Linked DNA regions of Caenorhabditis elegans. The protein of the gene in region 2 interacts with the protein of the main gene of each other region in a pairwise test. Each region holds a gene or a part of one and is shown on either strand. Other genes may lie near its edges. The genes, in order: ceh-92 and lmtr-2.

The links.
Region 1: the proteins of lmtr-2 (region 2) and ceh-92 interact in a two-hybrid assay, tested with the Caenorhabditis elegans proteins (one large-scale study listed by BioGRID).

The regions. Positions count from the first base shown.
Region 1 is NC_003281.10:11,579,740-11,584,700, reverse strand, and holds the start of ceh-92 (Homeobox-cysteine loop-homeobox domain-containing protein), read right to left. Parts: upstream 3,102-4,961; 5' UTR 3,043-3,101; coding exon 2,920-3,042; intron 2,877-2,919; coding exon 2,382-2,876; intron 2,326-2,381; coding exon 2,209-2,325; intron 1,655-2,208; coding exon 1,514-1,654; intron 1,458-1,513; coding exon 1,356-1,457; intron 1-1,355. Other genes in the region: Y66D12A.6 (uncharacterized protein), read left to right, coding at 3,299-3,424, 3,476-3,592, 3,662-3,829; Y66D12A.7 (Glutamyl-tRNA(Gln) amidotransferase subunit C, mitochondrial), read left to right, coding at 4,246-4,353.
Region 2 is NC_003283.11:8,009,673-8,012,949, reverse strand, and holds lmtr-2 (Ragulator complex protein LAMTOR2 homolog), read left to right. Parts: upstream 1-1,843; coding exon 1,844-2,027; intron 2,028-2,135; coding exon 2,136-2,326; 3' UTR 2,327-2,459; downstream 2,460-3,277. Other genes in the region: Y97E10AR.6 (BSD domain-containing protein), read left to right, coding at 1-100, 211-309; DNA-directed RNA polymerase II subunit rpb-9, read left to right, coding at 605-789, 1,224-1,352, 1,405-1,594; Y97E10AR.4 (SPK domain-containing protein), read left to right, coding at 2,898-3,151, 3,229-3,277. UniProt on the Caenorhabditis elegans protein: Regulator of the TOR pathway, a signaling cascade that promotes cell growth in response to growth factors, energy levels, and amino acids. May activate the TOR signaling cascade in response to amino acids.

The DNA.
Region 1 (4,961 bases), on a different chromosome or scaffold from region 2:
TTTTCATTCAAAAAAAAAACGTTTTTTGCAGATTTCTCGAAGCGTAGCCAAGAAATGGGCGGGGCCTAATTTTTGTGTGATTTTTAAAATTTAGATTTTTTTTTTCGTCTTAAAATTTATTTTTGCAATTTTTTTCAAATAATCTCACAAAACAGCCATTTTAGGGGCGTTACCATTTTTTTGCCAGAAAACCAACAAGGCAGCGTCAATATCCCGAAGCCTAGCCAAGAAATGGGCGTGGCCTAAATTCGAAAAAATTTATACGAAAAAATCTGGAAATTTTTAACTTTTTCTCTGAAACTTTCAAGAAGTTTTTTTTTTTTTAACTTTTTAAAATCTCACAAAATAACCATTTAGCCAAGAAATGGGCGGGGCTTAAAATTCGAATATTCAAATTTAGGCCACGCCCACCACTTTGGTTATTTTGTGAGATTTTTTTAAATAAAAAACTTGAAAGTTTCAGAGAAAAAGTTAAAAATTTCCAAATTTTTTCGTATAAATTTTTTCGAATTTAGGCCACACCCATTTCTTGGCTATGGTTCGGGATATTGACGCTGCCTTGTTGGTTTTTCTGGCAAAAAAAGGTAACGCCCATAAAATGGCTGTTTTGTGGTATTATTTGCAAAAATTGCAAAAATAAATTTTAAGACGAAAAAAAAAATCTAAATTTTAAAAATCACACAAAAATTAGGCTCCGCCCATTTCTTGGCTACGCTTCAAGAAATCCGGAAAAACCGATTTCTCGGTTGTTTTTTTTTTAGAAAAAAATCGCTAAAAAAGTGGGGGTGACTGAGCAAGCTCCGCCCCTTTCTTGGCGAAAATTTTGGTTTTTGCACGTTTTTGATCAATTTTCAGGCGAATTTTTCCAATTTTTCGCCGAAAAATCGGGACCACGCCTATTTTAAGCTCCGCCCATTGCTTGGCTAAATGGGTATTTTGTGAGATTTTTTAAAATAAAAAAACTTGAAAATTTCAGAGAAAAAGTTAGATTCTTCCAGATTTTTTCGTATAAATTTTTTCGAATTTAGGCCACGCCCATTTCTTGGCAATGGAAAAAATGGTAACGCCCCTATAATGACTGTTTTGTGAGATTATTTGAAAAAATTGCAAAAAAAAATTTAAAAATCACACAAAAATTAGGCTCCGCCCATTTCTTGGCTACGCTTCAAGAAATCCGGAAAACCCGATTTCTCGGTTGTTTTTTTTTTAGAAAAAAAAATTGGCCAAAAAGTGGGCGTGACTGGGCAAGCTCCGCCCCCCTCTTGGCGAAAAAACAATTATTGATTTTTGCACGTTTTTGATCAATTTTTCAGCGATTTTATCCAATTTTTCGCCAAAAAACGTAGAATCCGGACCTCTTCATCGTCATTATCATCGAAATTTTGTTGAATCGTCTCAAACTCCTCATCCATCGAATTTTCGCCCTCAGCTTCTGACTGAGTTTTGTCGGTTTCTTCCTGAAAATTGTGCAATTTTCAGCAACTTTCAGCGATTTTTCCCCGCTAAATCCGACCTCATCCTCTTGAAATTTGAGAATTGTTGCGTGCAATTCCCTCAAATCGACTCCGTAAATTGGGCACAAGCTGATCGCCTCCGCCACAGTCATATCCGGCCGATCTCGAATGATTTTCAGGATTTCGGCGCGTTTTTCGTGCTGAAAAATCATACTTTGATCTACTTTTATTGAATTTTTCACTGAAAACATCATTTTTCTGGCAATTTAATGGAACATTTTTAAGTTAAATTGACTGAATTTGCTTCAAAAAATCCAAAAATTTGGTAAAATTCTGAAAAAAAACGGAAAAAACACGATTTTTCAATTATGAGAACTGCGACCAATCAGCGATTTGCTCCGCCCACTTTTCAACCAATTAGATGAAGTGGGCGGAGTTTGAAGTCGCTGATTGGTCGCAGTTCTTATTCTTGCAAATAAAACACACACAATTCTCTTGAATTCAGAAAAATAACAAAAGAAAAGCGATTCGCTCCGCCCACTTCATCTGATTGGTTCAAAAGTGGGCGGAGCAAATCGCTGATTGGTCGCAGCTATCATTTTGGAGGAAATTAGTGAAAATTGAAAAAATCCCAATTTTTTCTGTTTTTTTTTGTGATTTTTCTGAATTCAAGCCAATTTTCGGGGGTTTTTTGAAGCAAATTCGGTCAAAATGCCTAAAAATGAGATTTGTCAGCGGAAATCGCAATTTTAACCTCCGATTTTCCATAATCATGGTCTATTTGCACTGTATCCATGTCGGCAGGAATCATTCCATCCTCGAAATCATCAGACACATTAAATGGCCACTCAGTGCTGTCAAATTGGGAATTCTGCAATTTTTTTGTTGATGAAAATTCATAATTTTTCAGTTTTTTCAATTAAAAACCTGATCATTGGTGTCATCGTCAGAGAATTTGTACCAATTCACGTAATAATCTCGAATTAAATCAGGCGGCAAGACCAGGCGATCTACAACTAAGTGAATACACCCAGTAGAGGGCAAAGGCCCTGAGTAATTGAATCTTTTGAAGTATTGGAGCATTAAATTGCGAGCTGTAACGTCATCGGCTCCATCATAGACGGTAAGCGGCGAAAAGTACTTGGCCACCCGGCGACACGTGTCATTTCGAAGGCATTTTAGACCTTGGAGCTTTCGAAGTTCGCAGAATCGATTGAAAACTCTCTCGTAGCGATATCCAGAATCCTCGGAAATGTAGATCATTTGCTGGATTGTTGGATGCTTGAATTCTTTGAAATATCGTAGATCTCCGGGGAATTTGTACAGGGAGCCCTGTGCTTTGGGTGAAGGTTCTCTGGGTGGTGGAGGAGATTCCAACTCCTCGAAATGGAAATCGTTTTCGTCATCGTCAGAGAGTTTTTGCTGGAAAAAAACAGTTAAAATCAATTAAGATTCAATAAATTACCTCCTCCTTCACATGTTCTGAAGCTTCACACTTTTTACGCTCGAGCCGCTGCGCTTCTTTTTCACACCATTCGATGATATTCTCTTCTGATGGAACAAGCGGATTTTCCTTATTTTTCTCCATATTCTGGTGGAAAATCACTTAAAAGTTGCGAAAAATTCGAATAAAAAATTGTTTTGTGCATTCTGACGTGACGGTGTTTGCGGGAAAAACACAGAGTACGCAATGCGCCTGACGCAAAAATTCAGAATGACTACCGTACTTGGACATATTTTTTTGTTTTTTTTTTTTCGGTTTTTTCGTTTTTTATGGTTTTTCCTACTCGTTTTTCCCCAAATTTCTTGAAAAACTCTTAAAAACCAAAAAAAATCCATTTTAGATGGAGAAAAAGCCCTTATCCAAAGAGCTCGCCGAGCAAATGAGCATTCTACGATCTGAACAAGCCACGTCATCTTCTGCGCCGGAAGAAGCTTCGCCAGCAGCTCCAGGAGAAAATCCACCGGATGTATGAAGATTTTCAGTCGAAATCCACAGATTTTAAGCCTTCTTTTTCCAGCTTTTCGAGCAATTGAGCATTCTACGAAACTTCAGCGACGAAGCCAACGTTCCATCCACGTCATCGTCCATCCGAGAGGCATTTGATCGGTGTGAGAAGCTTGGTCACTTGCAAAATGTGAGATTTCTTTATTTTTCTCCATATTCTTGAAAAAAAATAATATTCAATTTTCACTCAATTTTTCAGAACAAAAAGCGCCACTACAAATATTGGTTCCTTGGGCGAGAGAATCGAATGCATCCGGTTCACTTTGAGCAGCTCAATGAGCTCCGGAATCGACCTCCGTCAGATCATGAGGATGACGAGGAGGAGCCGGTGGCGAAGAAATCCAAAAAACCCGTTGAGAAGAAATAAAATAAATAATTTTCACCTTTTATTCTGTTAAATTTGATTTATTTCTTTTATTTTTATTTTTATTTTCATATCTTTACCCATATTTTAGCTCATAATTCCCAGTGCCATTCGAATTTCCTTGCGTCAGTATTTAAACTGCCGCCATCAATATTTTATCAATAGAGCACACTTTCTGCAGGCTCATTTCTTTTCATTTTTAGCCATTTAAAGGGTTTTTATTGCCTTTGCAACCTATTTTTCCTTTTTTTTCGCGGATTTTGCTTCAAAAACCTTCAAAATAGTCACAAATTCAAGAAAACTAGAGTTCTTTTTTTTCTGAATTTGAGGCAATTTTGAACTTTTTTGAAGCGAAAAATCGTTTTTTTTTAAATTATTTTCATTAGCCATTTTTAGCGTGAATTATGCAACTTTTCAAGATGAATCTGATATTCACACGGATAATAAGAAGATTTGGAGAAGGAAAACGAAAAACGCCATTTCCAGGTGACCCGATTCTTGTTCCAGATGAGCCGTACGATAGTAAGGTGGGAAATTTCTTTAAAATACGCCTATGGGGCCACAGTGACCGAATATCATGATAAAAAAATTCAAAAAAATTTTCTAAATTTTATATGATTTTTTGAAAATTTAAAAAATCACAGTTTTCACCTAATTCCTATTTGAATTTCCGCCAATTAGATTTGTTCGATGGAGCGCGCTTGCACGTTTTTAAATTCATTTATTTTATTTTATTTTTTGTTATTTTCCACCGATTTTTAATGTTTTCGGTGTATTTTTGCTTGAATTTTAGAGAAAAAGTCAAAATAAATGCAAATTTTCGATTAAAAAGCACGCTTACAAGCGTAAATCAGAGCAATTAATTAATTCAAGTTCGAAATCGTTTAAAAGCGTTTTTTTTTTAACTTTTTCTCTAAAATTCGAGCAAAAATACACCGAAAACATTAAAAATCGGTGGAATATAACAAAAAAATAAAATAAATAAATTCACAAACGTGCAAGCGCGCTCCATCGAACAAATCCAATTGGCGGTAATTCAAATAGAAATTAGGCAAAAACTGAGATTTTTTCAATTTTCAAAAAATCATATAAAATCTAGAAAATTTGTTCCCCCCCATTGGGCGCACTCCACCTT
Region 2 (3,277 bases):
GAAATCATCACCATCATCTGAATCGTCTGTAGTGGTTGTAGAAGAGCCAACGAGTCCGTCACAATCTGAATGGAGTGTTTGCAGTGAAAAGAATGTTGAGGTTCGTTTTGTCGCTGAACCATAATTTTTTTTTCGAAAAATTTGCACCAAATGTTATTAAAAGTGCTGCCCAATTATTGAAAATCGATAGCAATGTCAAACTAGTTATAGGAAATTCCATCAAATGACGAAGATGACGAAAAGGGACCATTGACACCTCGACCTGAAAGCGAAAAGAAAGAAGAAGGATGGGTTAACTGGGATGAATAATTCAAATGCTCTTTTTTCACTAAATTCACTTCTTTTTCGATATTCTACATGTTCCTGTCAATAATTCCACTGTCACTCCTATCTCTTTAAAGCTTCTAGAATCAAATGGCTAGCATCATTCCCCCATTTCTTTATTTTATGGAATTCTTTTTTATATGTATATACAAAGTTAGAAAGGTCGGTTTTCCTTCTTCGAATAATCTTATCTCTCCTCTGTTGGTTTGTAAATAAAAATTGCATTTTTATTTTATTTTCCACATTTTTGATTCGCTATTTGTGGTTTTCCATTCCACTAATGTATCTGCAATTAAAATCAAAGCTTGAAAATGTTTTATCATATTTTTTCAGAAAGATGAGCCAAGGGTATGATAATTACGATGATATGTACGATCAAAACGGTGCATCACCGGCGCCGAGTCAAAACGAAAAACCCGGGAAAAGTGGGCCTGGTTTTGTTGGAATCAAGTTTTGCCCAGAATGGTAATTAGTTTTATATTATTTAGGAAATTATTTCCGGCAATTTCACAAAGTGGCCGATTGCGCCTTGTTGTTTCAACATTTTTCATTTAAAATTAGTGTGAAAATATTGAAATTAAATTGATTTAACTGGAAATATCATTTTCAGCTGGAACATTATCGAGCTTTGTTTTTTTTTTTGAAAATCGGTAACTTGCATGCCATTTTTAAGCACTTTCTGAAGTTTTTCAGCCGAAAATAATGTTATTTTCAGTAAAATCAACTGAATTACTATATTTTGATACTAATTTTAAACTAAAAATGTTGGAACAAAATGGCGCAATATGCCATTTTGTAGAATTGCCGAAAGAAAATTGCACCCACCTCTGGCTCAAAGCTAATAATAAAGACAAAATGATGAAAATTTGAAAAAAAACATCAAAATTGTTAAACTTCAGCAATAATATGCTGTACCCACGAGAGGATAAGGAATCACGAGTTTTGATGTATTCCTGCCGGAACTGTGAGCATCGTGAAGTCGCCGCTAACCCGTGTATCTATGTGAATAAGCTCGTTCACGAAATTGAGTAAGTTCATTGTCAAATTGACTCATTTTCTAAATCAATTGGATTATTTCAGTGAGCTCACTCAAATCGTCGGAGATATTATTCACGATCCAACGCTCCCGAAGACTGAAGAACATCAATGTCCAGTCTGTGGCAAAAGTAAGGCTGTCTTCTTCCAGGCTCAAACAAAAAAGGCAGAAGAAGAGATGAGATTGTACTATGTATGTGCATCGCAAGATTGTCAGCACAGATGGACGGAATAAAACATAGTGTCCAATTGTTTTCTATTTATTTGAAACGTTTTCTTAATCGTCAATTGTTGTTTTATTCCTTATTTCTAAAATAATGTTTTTTCGGATCTCCATATGTTCCCTACCTGTTCCAATAAATTCAAATCATCATTCAATTTTTCGATTATATTTTTTCTAATTCTCGGTTTTTACCGTACTCTTTGGTTATTTTCAAAATTAAAACTTTCTAACTAGTAACCGTAATCCAAAACTTTAAAATAGATGCTGAAACAGAAAGCGCTGGTTGATGTTCTCGGACAGGTGAACACAAGCGGTGTTGATGGTTCGTGGCTTTTCAATAAGGAAGGATTGCTCCTTGCCTACGTCGGAAGCGAACAGAAAGCCGTTGCATCAAACGTCTCATCTGCACTTATAGCCAGTGTCTGGGCTGCTCTCGAGAGAAGAGGTAGATTTTTTAAAACATGCTCATAATCAGTCTATTTCAACTGGAAAATTACCAGTTCACATTCTTCAAAGTTTGAAATCAAACACCTCGATCAAGTTGTAATTACAGCCAACGATCTGAAAGAAACTATTCTCGTTCTGGAGAATGGAGTAATTGGTTGCACACTCGTCGCTCGTACAATGCTTCTGGCAGTCAAGGCCGACAAGAGTGCCGATTTGGGAATGGTCCGCGCTAAGCTTCATACACTGGCCGCCTACCTCGAGCAGCCGATTCTTTCAATTTCTCACGATTTGGGATGATCGATGTATTATCTTATATTTCTATCGGGTCTCATTCATCCCATCCAAATTCCATTTTATTTTTTTCCAATTTACTAACAATGAATAGATCATTTCACGCCATTCTTGTTTTTTTTAAGAACTTTTAAAATATAAAATACTTATTCTTTAACATGAAATTCATTTAATTGTACAAAATTGATGAAAATTGATGATCATGAAAGTGCATTGCTCAGGAGAAATTATATTCAAAAGGGAAAAAGTTCGAGTTTTTTTCTAATTTTTTAGAACTCTAATATGGCTTTAAAAAGCCCGCCGTTTGGTTGAAGGTCTCGCAACGATTTCAAAGGAGTACTGTAGTCCGTGCGACACGTCCTATTTTCTACCAATCGACACGTCGCAAAACGTCGGAACGATTTTTTCTGTAATATTATTATTTTATCCATAAAATATTCGAAATATCGATCGATATTCCCTCAAAAAACCTGTTTTCTTCTTTACTTCTCCATTTTTCCTTGATCTTCACCTCGAAGTACGCTTTTTTTACTCGTTTTCAGTGTTCTTAATTATCAATTATTTTGCTTTCCAGCAGATGCCATTCACTGAAGAAGGTCAGGTGCTCTCATTGGGCCCGAGAGGTCATGCAGATTACACAGAGACTGAATTGACGATATCACCGATTTCATGGATCGAAGAAGATGCAATTTGGACATTTTTGTACAATAAAATTCATGATGAATCAGCAAACATTGACAAAAAGAATGTTGATCCAGACAGTAATGCATTATGGGAGGATTTTCGGACGAAGACCGGCTCGGTGAGACAAGTGCGACGATTGAGATCACAGTGAGTCGTGGAGAGATGAAATTATTCACAGAGAAAAACTCTAAATTGTTTTATTCACATTAACTTTCAATTTCCAGTTATTTCAATGAGATGGTCCGAAGTTTACACTCAGCGTGCCTTTCATGC